2 linked regions of the Canis lupus familiaris genome follow. The protein of the gene in region 1 interacts with the protein of each later gene in a pairwise test. Links are inferred from orthologs where the notes say so. Each region holds a gene or a part of one and is shown on either strand. Other genes may lie near its edges. The genes, in order: CLK4 and UBL5.

Region 1 (4,307 bases):
AAAGGTGATGAACTAGAAAAAAAAAGGATACTGCCTTTGGATCTAGGAAAAAACTCTCACTGGTGGTGAACTGGGATGAGGTTCAGGTTGAGGTGAAACATTGGCTTATGCAGTAGCTGGAGGCACTTGAATGGTAATTGTAAGAATTGCTAAGTGATCTGCCTTTGGGTAACTGTTTTATTGGGAAGGGGAGGGACAGAGGGTGATGAAAGAATCTTAAGCAGGCTCCATGCCCAGCATAGAGCCCAATGTGGGCTCAGTCTCACAACCCTAAGATCATAACTGGAGCTGAAAAAAAGGATCAGACACTTAAACAACTGAGCCACCCAAGCATCCCTGGCTAACTCTGTTAAAAGGCTTGAAGAAGTGGAAGTATTTGGGGGCACCAGGCTGGCTCAGTCAGTTAAGCATCCATCTCTTGGTTTCAGCTCAGGGTCCTGAGATCAAGCCCTGTGCCAGGCTGCACACTCAGCAGGGAGTCTGCTTGAAGATTCTTTCTCCCTCTCCCTTTGTCCCCCACCCTTGATCTCACTCTCTAAAATAAATAAATCTAAAAAAAAAAAAAAAGTTGAAATATTTTATTCTAGTTTCTTTCTCTCTCCCCCACTGGAATCTAAGCTGTATAAGGGCAGGTACTTTGTCTTGTATACTTTTGTATCCTTAGTACTTAGGTCAGTGTGTGGCATAAGTACATGACATAGGAACTTGACGATTATACATTAAAAGAAAGGGTTAACTCCAGAAGACTTGAAGACGAATATGTATTACACATTTTACGTAGGGTTCTACAATGTTTGCAAGATATTTAGGATTTAGGTAAATATATTTTCCCTGCAATGGCTTACTGGATGGTTGACAGTTGAGACTATTGGCAAGTGGGGGTTGAGAAAGTAATTTATTAACCTGGCTCCAAAGCCTTTTCATTGGAAGCAGTGAAAATTTACAAGGAGATTGGAAATACCAGCCTATCCTAGTCCCTCTAGCACCTTCCAGCACCCTTTTACGCCCCTCCTCATATACACTAGGCCAAGTGTTTTGTGTAGCAGGGAACTCTTCTAGCATTTTCTGATGGGACTGAATCCTGCTTAATAATCCTGTGCTGTGTGAATCTCCTCACAACCAGCATCAGGAGACACTGGAGGAACGTGGGATGCAGGAGAGTCCTTTGTGACTTCCTATTGAACAGTGAATGAGGCACACTGAGGCCTTTCATGATCCTGATGTGCTGGAGATAAAACTGACCCATTGTTTCATCATGAGCAGCTCTCGATGATATATCACTGTGGAAAGTGGCTTGGCTTTTTTTTTTTTTTTTTTTTTAAGACAAACTCCTTTGGTGTTGCTGAATGATGGACTCGGCATATTTTCCATAAGGACTAAGTAAAGTAAGTTGCTATGTACTTTGTTGTAAGGAGTTGAAGCAGTTAGCAGAATGGTTAAATGCAAAGTACTTCAGAGCAAGCAAAGCCTAAGACTAAATCTTAGTTCTAATACTTGATAACTGTGACCTAGAGCAAATACCAAAGATCAATCACTTTACAGGGTATTGTTTAGATGATTAAATTAGGACATTATGGATATACGGTGGTTATTTAATTACTTAGTGGATATTTGATAGCTAAACATGAATGAAAAATTTGAGTACACAATGGTAATTATCAGTAATAGGCAACTTAAACCAGAGGTTATAACTGTAAAGGATTGTTTATGTCTTCACATTTCTCTATAGAGACACTAAGATTTTGTTAAAATTAATTTATGCAACAGTTTAGACTTTTTCTCTGGAGCTCTGTTCTCAGAGATGACTGTTTCCTATGTCTGAGGTTAAGCACATAGAATATCTGTGCCAGACTATACAAGAATATTCCTCTGGTTGCTTTTCAAAACTAAGATTTTCTTCATTTCTATGCAAGAACACGTATGCAAGTTAACTTAAGGTTTTCTTGGGCATATGTGTTCTTGCATTGAAATGAAGCTACTGGATTAGGCAGTTTTTCCAGTGTTGGTAGTAGATTCACAGAAATTTAGACTTCATTAAGTCTTCTGACCAAAGGGTGTTTATTTTCAGGTAACTGACTTAATAGTAACTAAATAGAAAGAGGTTGAGGTACCATGTAAGATTATTATACTAACTGGCAGTTAGATGGGTGTCTGAGAGTAAATTCCTACTTTTATTTAATCCAATTTAAACCAACTGAGTAAAATGGCCAAAAGCAGCTTATGTAAATAACCTACAAATAGGCATTGGGTTTGGAGCACTGAAATACCAAAGACAATATAAATCAAATCCTTGTCTCCAGTCAAAGCACATAAGCCATAGAGAGCAATTGGGAACACCATCGTGCTGTATTACATGTAATAGAGACACTAGTCACAGGATGTTCTCAACCTTATCTGATCACTCTATACTGTCAAGTATGAGTCTCCTTGGTGGCACTCTGGAGTTTAAAAACTCAAAATGACACTAAAACAAATAGTGGCAAGTACAAAGCAGACCCTGCTATTGGGTAACACTATTCTGTGATGTCTATAAATGCCTCTGTAGGTGCCTTTCCACTTAGCTGACTTTTCTTTTAAGATTTTGAGAGAGAGCATGAATGCAATTGGGAGAGGGGCTAGGGGAGAAGGACAAGCGGACTCCACGCTCAGTGTGGAGCACTAAGCGGGGCTGGATCCCACAACCCTGAGATCATGACCTGAGCTGAAATCAAGAGTCAGACACCCAACTGACCCAGCTACCCAGATGCCCCTCTACTAGGCTACCTTGCAACACTGTTGCTGTTGCTGTTTGAACACAACGGTGCACTATCCTGACCACATTCTCTTATAGTCTCTTGAGACAAAGATGCCTCATATGCCTCATGCTACAGCAAAAAGAAAAAAAAAAAAAAAAAGCAACTTTTCTTTGGTGCCAGCTTCAATTTATGCCTTTATATATGCAGCAAGCCGAGCCCCACTTTACCTTGCAAGATGGCCCAGTCCACTCAGTTCAACATTTCATCTGATAAATGTCCCTGAAACAGTATGTGCAATCAGTTGTAGAACCAGTAAATTCCAATTTTTTCCAAAATTGGCTGATATACCTTGATGGCTCCAGGCACATCAGTAGGCTGTGGCCACCTGTTTTAGGACCTTATCTCTAACTGGAGTAGTCAAGAGCAGGGTAATGGCTGGGAAATGATCTAGTCAAGGACAGAATTTTAGAGATGGATGTGGAAGGATGGGCAAGATTTAAACTTGTAGATACAGAAATGTTGGCTCTTTTAGATTTGAATAATATTGTCTGTTTCATTCTAAAGCATCAAGAATTTTCACCTCCAATTTTCCAATTATCTTTTCAATTTCTTCACTTCCTTGAAGTGTGGCACAATCTTCGTGAGAATTGATGTATTTTCAACTTCACTTCTTGAAGGCTGTGGTACAATCTCCATTACAACTCAATTTATTTTAAGTAGGTGACACAAGTTTCCAAGGATATCAGATCATGAAATTACAGTGATTTCCTTTCACCTAACAATATACAAGAGTTCAGATCTTCCACACACTATTGAGTTTATGCCCATAACCATCCAACTTCGCTCTCCTAAATTTGATTTCCGGCTCTCCTTTTTACCCAGTGAATCCTTGTCAGAGTATAGAATCCCCTTGACACTTTCCAGTACTTAGGGTACCTGACCCCTTCCCTGCATTTGGCGCTGAAAGCTTTTCCTTCATTCAAGCCCTTCTCCCCCGTGCTTTCTCTGACACCATGCTCTTGGTTCTCCTCTCCTGATCATTCCTTCTCAGGCTCTTCTTCCCTTTGAAATGTTTCTTAGGGCTTAGACTGGTTCTCTTTTCTCTACCCACTCAGAGTTGGAAACGGTCTAGGGATTCTCAGAACTGCAAAATACTTCGAGATAAGCCCTTTAAGAGATGCTCACTAGCTCTCAAACGTTACTCTGCCTCGGTTAAATGAAACTCGCGAAAATGGGGGCATCGTTAGGGAACTTTTCCAGCTACCATCTGCCCAGGAGGCAGGGGCCCTAACAGGAAGAACGCTGTACGGAGTCTCCGTTGAAGCTTCCTCATTCTTTGTTGTGTTCTTCTGATTAGAAGCATGGGCCTCAAAAGGAGAAGGCACCCTGAGCTTGTTTTCGGAGACATCCTCTTTCTCGGCCCTACTCCATTGTAGGAAGCTCCAGGGAGGCTGGACTCCTCGTCTCCTGTTCTCTGAACTGCCCCTAGCACCTGCACAGAGCAGGTTTGGGGCTTAGCTGTTGCTTGTTGGCACTTTCTAGGGATGGAGGGACGGCAGCCCGAGAGCCACG
Region 2 (3,878 bases), on another chromosome or scaffold:
TCCCTTCTGGGAAGCACCTACCTCCTCCTCACCCCAGCACCTCTAACAACTGACCTTCTGCTGCTCAAAGAGGGGAATGGAGCCGCCCTTGTTCCTCAAGGGGCATTCACTGAGTCCTTTCATGGGAAGTTTTTTTTTTTTTTTTCCCATGGGAAGTTCTGAATTCTAATTACCAAGGTGTGAGGAGGGGTCTCTAAAGTGAGGTATCCGAGGCTCCTTCCTTTGTCACCTTAATCTGGAAGAGAGGGTGTCTATGCCGCAGTGGTAGCCTAGTCCTTAGAGTGTGATCACGAGGTCCTGGGCTCGAGTCCCACATCACGTTCCCCGCAGGGAGCCTGCTTTTCCTTCTGCCTATGTGTCTGCCTCTCTCTGTCTCTCATGAATAAATAAACAAATCTTTTTTAAAAGACAGAGAGACAGAGAAGGTGGATGGAGCAAATCAGAAGCAGCAGCTCATTTTCAGAGCGAATCCCTTTAGGCTCACCAAACTGGGAAAATCCTGTCTGCAGAGAAAGAACAGCCTAATGGTTCCATTGGCAGTGAAGGGGCTGCTCTGGGGCTGAAGGGCAAGGCTGAGATCTGGTACAAGGTGCTCCCTGCAGGGCTGGGGTGACCTTCCTCAATCACACAAACCCGGGTAATCACCCTCTTCTGTCGTTTCCACTCGACTTGCCCATCATGCTGGTTGGCATGCAACTTGGACTCCATTCTAAAGATTGATTGATTGATGAGAGACACAGAGACAGAGGCAGAGACAAGGGCAGAGGGAGAAGCAGGCTCCCTGTGGGGAGCCTGATGCGGGACCCCATCCCAGGATCTGAGCCAAAGGCAGACCCTCAACCACTGGGCCACCTAGGCGGCCCTTTACCCAAAAAAAAAAAAAAAAATGTTTTAAGATTTTTATTTATTCATGAGAGACGCAGAGAGAGAGGCAGAGACAGCAGAGGAGAGAACGGGACTCCGGACTGGTGCGTGCTGGTATCCAGGACGTGATCAGGAGGCCGCTTTGCTGACTGTGGTCTGCGCCCAGGTGTGTGTGTCGGGGTGCAAGGGGGGGAAGCGATGGCCAAAGGGAGGGGTGGGCAAAACGCTTCCAAGTCCCCGCCCCCAGTGAAGGGAGGGGGCCCGAGATGACAGCACGACTTCACCCAGGCTCCTCCTCGCCCTGAAGCTGAGGCTCCACTGAGAGGCTCCATCGGGCTCCGGAACGAAAAGTCACCACCCCCACGGGGCGTCCCCGGGCTCCCCTGATGTTCCCACCAGACGCCACACGAGGCCGCGGCAACCCACACCTTCCGACGGAAGGGGGATCTCTCTGCCCGGCCCCTGACCTCTGACTTTGCTTTCACGCCCCTTCCCCGGCCACGCACAAACCGGGACCCCAACGCGGCCCCACGCACCGACGGGCGAGTATTCTCTGCCCAAACTCGGGACCCCGAAGCGGCGCTCGGAACCTGCCTTGACCGGAAGAAAGCCGGAGCGGTGTTGAGCCGGGAGCGGGGAGGGCGCTTCCGGTTGTTCACTTCCGCTTCCGGCTCTCGGCGTCTACTCTAACCCGGGCTCCGCCCTCGAGCGAGGAGTTTGTGGCGTCGGCGGGTTCCAGGCGATTCGAGGTGAGGGGCTGGTGGGAGAGGCGCAGAGTCGGGGAAAGCGGACGGACCTGGCCATCAAGGGTGTGCGCGTCTGCGAAAGGCGAGGCCGGGCCTTCAGGCGACCTGAGCGGGGAGGCGCGGCCGCCTGGGGTCCGCGGTCCTGGGAGTTGGGGCCTAGGAGGACCGCGAATCTGGGAGGTTGAGGGGTGAACGTAAGACTCAAACCCGGGGTCTTGGCTCTTGGGAGACCCCTGAAGTCCTGACTGCTGCCTTCCACCCCACGCCGTGTGTAGCTCCAGACAGGATGATCGAGGTTGTTTGCAACGACCGTCTAGGGAAGAAGGTCCGCGTTAAGTGCAAGTATCCACCCGCGGCTGAGAGGCAGTGGTTCCTGGGGTGCTTGATGTGAGGCAGGCATCTCCGTGTGTGCTGTAGGGTGACTTTAGTTAAACCCGGGGGAGTGGGCGGGTGGGGGCCTGGCAGGGCGCCTTCAGCCCTGGGATGTCCTCTTCCCCGTTCTCCCTTCCGTTTTCCTTAACTCGTCTGCGCCCAGCACTGATGACACCATCGGGGACCTTAAGAAGCTGATCGCAGCCCAAACTGGCACCCGTTGGAACAAGATCGTCCTGAAGAAGTGGTGAGTGCAGCGGTGGAACTGGGGACTGGATGGGACTGGGCCAGAAGGTTTGGGTGGGGGAGCCCTGTGGGCTTAGGCAGAGCTTCCTCAGCTTGCCTCCTGCATGAAAATCCACCTCAGACTTCAAATTCAAAAGGTTTCTATCCCACAGGTACACGATTTTCAAGGACCACGTGTCTTTGGGGGACTGTATCCTTTGCGTGACTTCTTGAGGAAGGCTCTGTATACCAGACTTGGTTCTCTTTGTTCGGTGCTGGAGTCTGTATGAGATGGTGCACATAAAGTATTTAACTTAGAATGTAGCACACAGTAAGCATTTGGAAAATGGGATCCAAAGAAAAAAGAAAGAAAGAAAATGGAAGCCATGTCATGTTGGTTAGGGGTGGAGGGTGGTTGATGAAATGCTTTGGCTTGGCTTAGAAGAAACTTGAAGGTCTAAATATTTATTACTGATCTCTACCTGAGTGTGGACAAGTGGTCAGGGTGGAGTGAGACTCAGGCATGTCTGTTGTGCAACAGGAGCGTGAACCTTTGTTTTTTTTATAGTTCTGATTCTTTTCAAATCAAAATTGACCTAGTTCAAAATGGCTCCCTTGGCCCTGGGTGGAGCCCTCAGGCCACCCTGACCCACCTGTGCAAGATGAGAGGGTGGAGATGGAGCCCACAGTGAGAGTTCCTTAACGTTTTTTACTTCAGATGAAATCCACGATGGGATGAACCTGGAGCTTTATTACCAATAGAGCAGAATTCCTTCCATTTGTCCTGTCCTGCCTCCCCCCCCACCCCGCTCCTCTCCCCTCCTGTTGGCTCCTCTCCCCTCTTCACTACCATCTCCCCCACACTGATACGGATGCTTGTTTTTAAAAACTCATGTTAATAAAATCTTAGAAGTTGCTTCATTGTTGTCATCTTTGAAGGAGGTCTTTTCTAACGTGGGAGGGTTGTCACTATACTCTCAGTACCCAGCAGCTCAATAAAGAGTTCAGGATCCAACTGGATCAGTGAGGGAAGAGTAAGCCAGCAGCTTGGGAGCCTGAATGGAAGCTCTGGGATTTGCCAAGGGTCTGTGAAGGTCGAGAGATCCGTGGGATTATTGGCATCCTAATAGATCAAGGGGGTCTGGGTAAGGACAGTAGATACAGTAGTTAGGAATACAGGTTCTGGATTCAGACCGACTATGGTTGGAATCCCAGCTCTGCCACTGCTGTGATCCTGGGCCAGGGTAGTTAATGCCTTCATTTCCTTATCCAAACTGGAACTGATAGTGTTTACTTAATTGCCTTGTTGTGAAATGTGTAGATGAGCTAAAGCATGATTAAGCAGCCACAGTTCCTTGGATTTTGGAAATTCAAGTGAACAGAGACTGTGGTTTAGGCTAGGCTTTGATCATTAGTGATGGGATTTGAGGAAGTCACCCTCTCCGATCCTTGGTTTCCTACTCTAAAATAGACAACCAGGATGGCACCCATATCTCAACGAGAATGCAGTTAAAACAGCAGGATGTCTGGTACAAAGTGTTTAAAGCTGTCTCCAGCCTTCCCCCAGGTGTGAGTAGACAGGACACCAAACACCCCATCTGTGTTCCCTGGGCCACAGACCCCAGGATCAATGTTGGTCCTTCCTCCAGCTGTATTCTGGAGCCTTTCTCA

What was found.
Region 2: the proteins of CLK4 (region 1) and UBL5 interact in a two-hybrid assay, tested with the Homo sapiens proteins (2 studies listed by BioGRID and IntAct). The link is inferred for Canis lupus familiaris from reciprocal best matches to the Homo sapiens genes CLK4 and UBL5.

The regions. Positions count from the first base shown.
Region 1 is NC_049232.1:3,225,843-3,230,149, forward strand, and holds the start of CLK4 (dual specificity protein kinase CLK4), read left to right. Parts: upstream 1-1,241; 5' UTR 1,242-1,385; intron 1,386-4,307. UniProt on the Homo sapiens protein: Dual specificity kinase acting on both serine/threonine and tyrosine-containing substrates.
Region 2 is NC_049241.1:51,569,240-51,573,117, reverse strand, and holds UBL5 (ubiquitin-like protein 5), read left to right. Parts: upstream 1-1,459; 5' UTR 1,460-1,613; intron 1,614-1,885; 5' UTR 1,886-1,896; coding exon 1,897-1,952; intron 1,953-2,145; coding exon 2,146-2,229; intron 2,230-2,380; coding exon 2,381-2,418; intron 2,419-2,925; coding exon 2,926-2,969; 3' UTR 2,970-3,124; downstream 3,125-3,878. UniProt on the Homo sapiens protein: Ubiquitin-like protein that plays a role in cell proliferation and sister chromatid cohesion by associating with spliceosomal proteins. Participates thereby in pre-mRNA splicing by maintaining spliceosome integrity.